2 linked regions of the Macaca fascicularis genome follow. The protein of the gene in region 1 interacts with the protein of each later gene in a pairwise test. Links are inferred from orthologs where the notes say so. Each region holds a gene or a part of one and is shown in the gene's direction. Other genes may lie near its edges.

The links.
Region 2: the proteins of CETN3 (region 1) and SGSM1 interact in binary tests that used the Homo sapiens proteins (3 or more experiments, as listed by UniProt). The two-hybrid records come from large-scale screens. The link is inferred for Macaca fascicularis from reciprocal best matches to the Homo sapiens genes CETN3 and SGSM1.

What each region holds. Positions count from the first base shown.
Region 1 is NC_088380.1:94,401,652-94,405,468, reverse strand, and holds part of CETN3 (centrin-3), read left to right. Parts: intron 1-1,064; coding exon 1,065-1,179; intron 1,180-3,817. UniProt on the Homo sapiens protein: Plays a fundamental role in microtubule-organizing center structure and function. As a component of the TREX-2 complex, involved in the export of mRNAs to the cytoplasm through the nuclear pores.
Region 2 is NC_088384.1:26,367,427-26,371,343, forward strand, and holds the start of SGSM1 (small G protein signaling modulator 1), read left to right. Parts: upstream 1-1,536; 5' UTR 1,537-1,660; coding exon 1,661-1,679; intron 1,680-1,775; coding exon 1,776-1,819; intron 1,820-3,917. UniProt on the Homo sapiens protein: Interacts with numerous Rab family members, functioning as Rab effector for some, and as GTPase activator for others. Promotes GTP hydrolysis by RAB34 and RAB36.

The sequences.
Region 1 (3,817 bases):
GTTTTTGTTTTTTGGTTTTGGTTACCCAGATTTGATCAATTCTTCCTTTATAGTGTCTCTTCCATTAGTAACCATTGACTGGTTTCAGACCTTATTTCATACCTGGAGCTTCCTAAATGGTTTGTCTACTTGTAGTTCACCTTGTATACTACTACCACTGAATTTAGATAGTTTAAAAAATCTTTCACCATTGCTTATAAATTGTTCGTTGCTCATAAGCCTTTACTATTAATAACTCCTCATTATATACTACTTAAAGTTCAGATTCCTTTGCTTTCTACTGAATGTTCTCTACACTTTTGCCACCAACTACTTTTTTCATTTGCTAACTGCTTTCTTCCTCCCAAACTCTTCTAATTCACGTGGAATTCACCTTCTAATCCAGGTGAGCAGTTTATCTCACCTGAACTCTTCTAATTCAGGTGAGGTAAACTGCTCTGTTCGTTGTCCTTCAAACCTATTGTTCATTTCAGTGTTTCTTTTAATACTAGTCATCCTTCCCAAATGCCCTACTGCTCCTCTTCATCTGTCCTTCAAGGAACAACTTGAATCTTTCCAAATAAGACTTACCTAGTCAGTAACATGTTTCCTTCCTTGTTACTAGTAACAAAGTCTCTTTTTTGTCTAAACTCAGGGTCCTTCGCCCTATTATTAACCTAATAACTAATCATGGAGATGCTGATGATAATTCTTATTTTAATGTTTTATCTCTTCTATCATATAACTTTAATATTTATGCTATGCCTTTTTCTCATTTTGGTTGTTATTCCCGTGATAACAAATAGCAGTCAAATTATCTGTGCAGTAAGTTAGTGCATTTTATATAGTAAACACTTGTTGGTTACTTTGTCATATAAAAATGCAATTTATAAATGAAAAAACTTATACATAATTTCAGTAGTGAAGAACAATTACACTGTCACTACTATTTTAAAGAGGTAAAACATGCAAAAAAGTTATATTTTACTAATGTGTTTTTATCTCTTAAGATGTAAAAACTTAATAATTAGAAATTCTTTTGTAAAGATTGCTTTATAATTTGCTTTTCCCTTTTAATCCAAAAGGTGGCAATGAGAGCCTTGGGGTTTGATGTAAAAAAAGCTGATGTACTGAAGATTCTTAAAGATTATGACAGAGAAGCCACAGGGAAAATCACCTTTGAAGATTTTAATGAAGTTGGTGTGTATTTTAATAGTCTTTGTAATCAGCAGCTGTTAGGAAATTGTCTGATTAATATGACTTTTTAAATTTTAAATTCTCTAGGTTATGGAATTTTCTTATAGAACACTGGTGTATAATGTGACTCTTACTCAGTTTTGTTTGGGTTATTTTACTTTTTTCATTTTCAAAGAAAAAATATGGCTTTGCTCTGAGATTTATAGTTTTGTCTTTTGTTTTGTTGTGAAGATTCTAGCCAAGGAACTACTGTGTAGCTTTTTATGGAAAGATGCTTTTCCAAGTTATTTGTATTTATATTATGTGATAAAACTTGAAGGGTGATCAAAAAATTATTTTTGCTCAGTAAAACAGAAAATTTGATATCCTGCTGTTTGGAAAATGTTTCCCAAGACCTTTCTGGTATGTGATTTTTGCTGGCTAAGTGGGAGAAGAGGGAACTGGTAGTAGTTGGTATCTTTGGCCCTAGATGAAATGCGTGACTTCAGGTTGACAAAGTTTATGAGAGGCTACATCCTCTGGATGACCTTGATCTTAGTGGATAAAGTCATCTGTTTAGAGGGTAGTAGTAAAGGAGGCAGTGGGCATACTGCAAGCAGGAGAAAACATCCTGGTACCACCAACTGAAGATAATGTGTCATAGGCTTAATATGGCTAAATTTTTGTGTAGTTGATTTTAGTGAATTATTTATAGCATACATAGAGCAGGCTTTTTCAAAATAGAAGAGTCTGGAAGGCAAGGGCGTTACTATTGTCTAGGATATTACCTACAAAATATATAAATATTCAGGTTTATTTCTATTTTTTTCCCCCTAAACCAATGGGTCACGATATAAGCACATCATATAAGTATTTTAAGATATTTGGAAACAAATTCTGTTATATACACAAACCCCTTCTTTTAAATATTCATCAAGAAGCAATATGGGAAGCAAAAAGAAATGGCAATTAGTATACGCAGAGAAAATTTAGATTCATGTCATTAGTTTTTTGAATCCAAACGCTCAAGTCAAAAGCAGTTGAGATGGAAAATAAATGATAAACCTAAAAGAAAAAATACAGCACAGAAGATACTCAACTTACGAACTAATATATGACTGTTTAGAGAGGCAACTTGTCTGTTGGGGACATTTTCCTTTTTTTCCTCTAATTTGTAGAATTTTTTATTTGAGGAGAAGGAGAGAGCCACCTTTTGTTCTCCCAGAATGGACACTCTCCTGAAGTTTATAATCGTAGTATTCCTAGTTTTACCTTAGATTGTTTATTTGTAGAAACAAGATGTTAGGATACAGTGGAAATGATACTATTAGGAAGGAGCTATAATCCAGGTATGTTTAGTACAGTATAGTGGTTTAGCACTTGGAACCAGATTCTGTTGGTTCATACCTTGGTTTTGCCACTTTATAGCTCTGGAACTTGGTCTTTTTAATACCCTGTGCCTCATTTTCAACTATAAGGTGGGGATCATTGTACTCTCTCATGAGATTCTTCTGAGGATTAAGTTAATAACATGTAAAGTACCTAGAAAAGGGCCTAGCATGTTGTAAGTGCTACTAAGCATTTGTTATTATTATTACTTTAAAAAATTGTCTCTGTTTCAGGGGCTCAAAATAATCATATATGCATCACTGGGACATAAAATAGACTCTGTGTATACTTTTTATTGACTTTTTTTCATAAAGGCTATTGTAAGCACTATATCATCACTAATAATTTTACAAAATATTTTATTTCATCTTAAATGAATACAATTTTGAAATTGTGATTTTTTATTGGCAGTTGGGACCAGAATCCCATGCCACCTCCACTTTTTCCTGATGCCCTATCTGTTCTATGTTATTAACAGAGCAGAAATACTGGGTTCCTTTAGAATAAATAGATGTGGCTAAACTTCAGCTTTGACACTCAAAGATTAACCTTTTGACAGGGTCAACACCTATCTTAGCTATCTTAAGGCTACCTATGGAGAGTACCAGGTGTAAAATAAAAATTTATTACTGTTTGGGAATCAGTCAAGAACTATGTATTTCCCCTTTTGTTGATTATTTTTAACTAATCACTGACCACAGATTAATATGTTTTGTACTTTGGGACAAATGATTCTAAATCTTAACATTTGAGTCCTAGTTTTATGAACTACTCAAGGATACTGTTCCACAGATATATCTGGATGAAGTTTGGCAGTTAACTATTATAGATTCTTCCTAGTACTGGAAAAAAGCTTTAAAATATATTTAATGTAAGTTTAGAGTCAAGACAACCTGAGGCTAGTGAGTAACATAGATGTTTTAGGAATTCTGTCTTTAACACCAACATAAGTCAAACGTTTGTACACTATTTTTGACATATACTACTTATTGCTGATTCAGATTATAATAGTGTATTATTGTCTTCATTTTGCTTATTTAACACTGAATTTTTTGGTATTAGGTACTGTACTGGGGTTGGGAAGAAGACGTAATTAAAAGTTACTAAGAGGTTCTTCTTTCAGGGAGTTTACAGTGTACATATAGGTGACAACAGGCTATAGTACTATGTGGTAAATTGTAATTTTGTCTAGGACAGAAGTCAGCAATTATAGCCTTTGGACCAAATTCAGCTGCTGCTTGTACACCACCACACCCATTCTTTTATGCAGCTT
Region 2 (3,917 bases), on another chromosome or scaffold:
CCCTCCCTATCCCCTTTGCCTACTTAATTTTTCTCCAGAACTTTCCAGCATGGTCTGTCCTTTGCTTATGTATTTTGTTGTCTGTCTCTTAAACTCCATGAGGGTAGCGCTCTCTGTCTGTCTTGCTCACTTAGAAATCTCTAGCACAGTCACTTGGCACAGAGTAGGTGCTCAATAAATATTGACCTGACTTGCATTCTGGGTGCATACAGTTAGGGACTTGGGGTGACCAGCGGCTCTCAATGGAACAAGCCTTTTCTCACAGAGCCCACTGCCTGCTCAGCCTCGGAGATCCTGGCTGACAAGTGCCTCCTGTTGGGGCCAGATTCCTGAGAAAACCCCACTCTTCCAGCAAACTGCATGTCCGGGAGGGAGCCACTTAAGTCCCGGCCTCTCCTGGATGGAGAACCAGTGAATCTTGGAAGACTCTTTTTTTTTTTTTTTTTTTTTTGAGATGGAGTTTCACTCTTGTTGCCCAGGCTGGAGTGCCGTGGTGCAATCTTGGCTCACTGCCACCTCCGCCTCCAGGGTTCAAGCAATTCTCGTGCCTCAGCCTCCTGAGTAGCTGGGATTACAGGAGCATGCCACCATGCCTGGCTAATTTTTGTATTTGTATTTTTTATTTTTTGAGACGGAATCTCACTCTGTCGCTCAGGCTGGAGTGCAATGGCGCCATGTTGGATCACTGTAACCTCTGCTTCCCAGGTTCAAGTGATTCTCCTGCCTTAGCCTTCCGAGTAGCTGGGTTTACAGGCACCCCACCATCATGTCCGGCTAATTTTTGTATTTTTGTAGAAACGGCGTTTCACCATGTTGGCCAGGTTGGTCTCCAACTCCTGACGTCAGGTGATCCGCCCACCTCGGCCTCCCAAAGTACTGGGATTACAGGGATGAGCCACATGCCCAGCCTAATTTTTGTATTTTTGGTAGAGATGGGGTTTCACTATGTTGGCCAGGCTGGTCTCGAACTCCTGACCTCAAGTGATACGCCCGCCTCGGCCTCCCAAAGTGTTGAGATTACAGGTGTGAGCCACCGCGCCCGGCTGGAAGACTCTCAATAATAATAAATAATAGTAATAACAGTAACAGTGGCAAGCATTTATGCTTGCTGGCCTTTCCCCCTGGGTCTGTATTAAGGGCTTCACATCCAATATCTCACTTAAGTCTCAGATCGTTCTGAGACCCATGATACCCATTTTATACCACATTATACCCATTTTAAAGATGAGAAAACAGGCTTGGAGAATGTCCGTAGTAGTCCTACCATTTCCTGCGACTTCCTGGAGCCTGGCCCACAGAGGAGGGCTCAGGAAGGACGCTTTCCTTCCTCGCCCTAGGGAACAGGGAGGGACCTGAGCGCTGGCGTGGAGGGTGGGGGAGCCTGAAAGGCCCGGGCGCTGGGTGCGCGGGAGCGAGCGTGCGTGCTTGGCGCGAAGGCTCCTGGCGCAGGCAACCCGACCGCCCAACCGCGCGGTGGCTTGCCTGAGGGGTGGGGCGGCCGCCTCGGGTCCTGACGTCGGGCGCCCTCCGGCCGTCACTCAGCGCTCGGCCCCGCCCCGCCGCGGCTGCAGCAGCAGCGCCGAGGCCGGAGGAGCCACCGCCGCCACCACCGCCGCCACCGCCACCGCCTCCCGGGACTCGGAACCCAGCGCTCGGAGCCATGGCCTCGACCCCCGCGGGTAAGGGGCTGCGGGACACGGGGGCGGCGGGAGGGCAGCGCCCGGCCCCCGCACCCACCCTAGGCTAACCCGCGGCTCTCGCGTCTTGTCCCACAGAGGCGGAGACCCGACAGAGGCTTCTACGCACCGTCAAGAAGGAGGTGGGTGCCGGGGTGGGGGCGCTGGGCAGGTTTCCCCCGGGCAGGGGGCAGCACAGCCAAACGGGAAAAGAGCCTCCGTGGAAGGGTGGCCTCTGGCGGTGGGGGGGGCGGCCAGACCAGGTGTGGGACTCACCTGGGTAGGCATTGACCTCCCGCAGGGCAGGAGGCGCAGCGAGGGAGTTTGGGGATCGGTATAGGCGTGGGGAGGCTTTGGCCCATTTGAGGCTTTGTGCGGGGGCGGATGCAGCGTGAGGCCCCTCCAGGTGTGGGACCCACCTGGCTATGTCCCAGTAGAACGTCCTGTTGTGGAGGAGCAAGCAGGTGGGTGCGGTTCAGGAAGGGGATCTTCCAAGAGAGACTAGCTGCTGGGGGGACCCCCCACAGGGTGTGCTGGGGGAGGGGCCCTGAGAGGGCTGCCGAAGGTGGGGCACCCTTTGGGAAAAGGGAGAGGGAAAATAAAGCCTCCCTCCCCAGCCCCCAAATTCTCAGTCCTTGGAGCCACCTCCAGGAGCCAGGGGACTCCCTCTCACTGATCCGGAGAGTCCCGGGTCAGTGAGCTGCTCACCTGGCAGTAGGGGTCCCTTCACCCCCTACCCCACACACTCAGAGGTGAGAATCAGAAAGGTTCTGCCATTTTTCTGCCCCTCCACTCTCCCTGGGGTCAGCGCGGGGGCCCAGTCTAATCTTTAGGGGTCATGACCAAAGACCTCCCAGAACCCCATAGACAGGGATAATTTGTAGTCCTTGGGGCCTGGGGTAGCATTTCCATGCCTGGACTGTGTGCTCTGCTGCGTACGCCTGCGTGGGTGAGGACCTGTGGCTGTGAGTATGTGCATATGAGAATGTCTGTGTGTCTGGAGATACCTAAGTGTATCTCTTTGCATTGTGTGTACACATATCTATGTGTGTCTGTGTATCTGTTTTTGTGAGAGTGGGTCTATGTGTGTGTATTGTGTGGTGCATGAGTCTGTGTGAATGAGTGATGCTGTGACTGTGCGTGTGTATCTTGAGTGGGTGTGTGGCATGTGATGCATGAGTCTGTGTGAATAACTAGGGCTGTGACGCCGTGTGTGTGCGTGTTGCCCTGTGTGTTGCCCTCCCCATTCTTCAGCCTCAGACCCCATTGCTGCTGTGTTTTTGTCACTTTTTAACCTTATGAGCACTTAGCCCAAGGCCTCGAATGGCAGCAGACCTTGTGGGCTGGCCTGGTTTGTGGGCCTGGCTTTCAGTGCGTGTGTGTGTGTGTGTGCGCGTGTGTGCATGTGTATGTGTGTTGTGGGTGTCGGCTGAGGTGGCAGCATCAAGCATCACTGATGACCCGTCCTTCCCTGCACAGTGGCAGACAGCCACCAAGGGCAGCCTGGAGGCTTGGACCTGTTGCTGCCCCTCCCTCCTCGGGGAGCATGAGTATGTGTCTGTGTGTATATGTGTCTGTGTGTGGCATGTCCTATTTTGTTTAAAGAATGAGCTCCAGGGCTGCTTGGCACATTCTAGCATTTTCGAATGAGACATGCAAAATACATTAGATCCCTCAGAAAGGTCCAGAAGTGTTCAGCTCAGCCTTTGTATAGGCTCCTGTGGGTACTCCAAGGGAGGTCTGTCTAGAACCTCTCTTTTTTTTTTTTCCTGAGACGGCATCTCGCTCTGGGGCCCAGGATGGAGGGCAGTGGCACAGTCTCCGCTCACTGCAAACTCTGCCTCCCAAGTAGCTGGGGCTACAGGTGCCCACCACCACACCCAGCTAATTTTACTATTTTTTTTTTTTTTTTTTTTAGTGGAGACTGGGTTTCACTGTGCTAGCCAGGATGGTCTCGATCTCCTGACCTCATGATCCGCCCACCTTGGCCTCCCAAAGTGCTGGGATTACAGGCGTGAGCCACTGTGTCTGGCTTAGAACTTCTTTTCAACAGAACTCAGACCAACAACATTCTTGTGACTATTTCAGGGGAGGGGCACGTACCTTGCAAAGCACCTGCTGTCTTTTTGTTCATGGTTTAACCAGACCTACATGTAATATGTAGATGTTTTTGCCTGAGGCAGCTTTGTGTTTTTTTTTTTTGTTTTTTTTTTTTGGTTTTTTTGAGACGGAGTCTTGCTC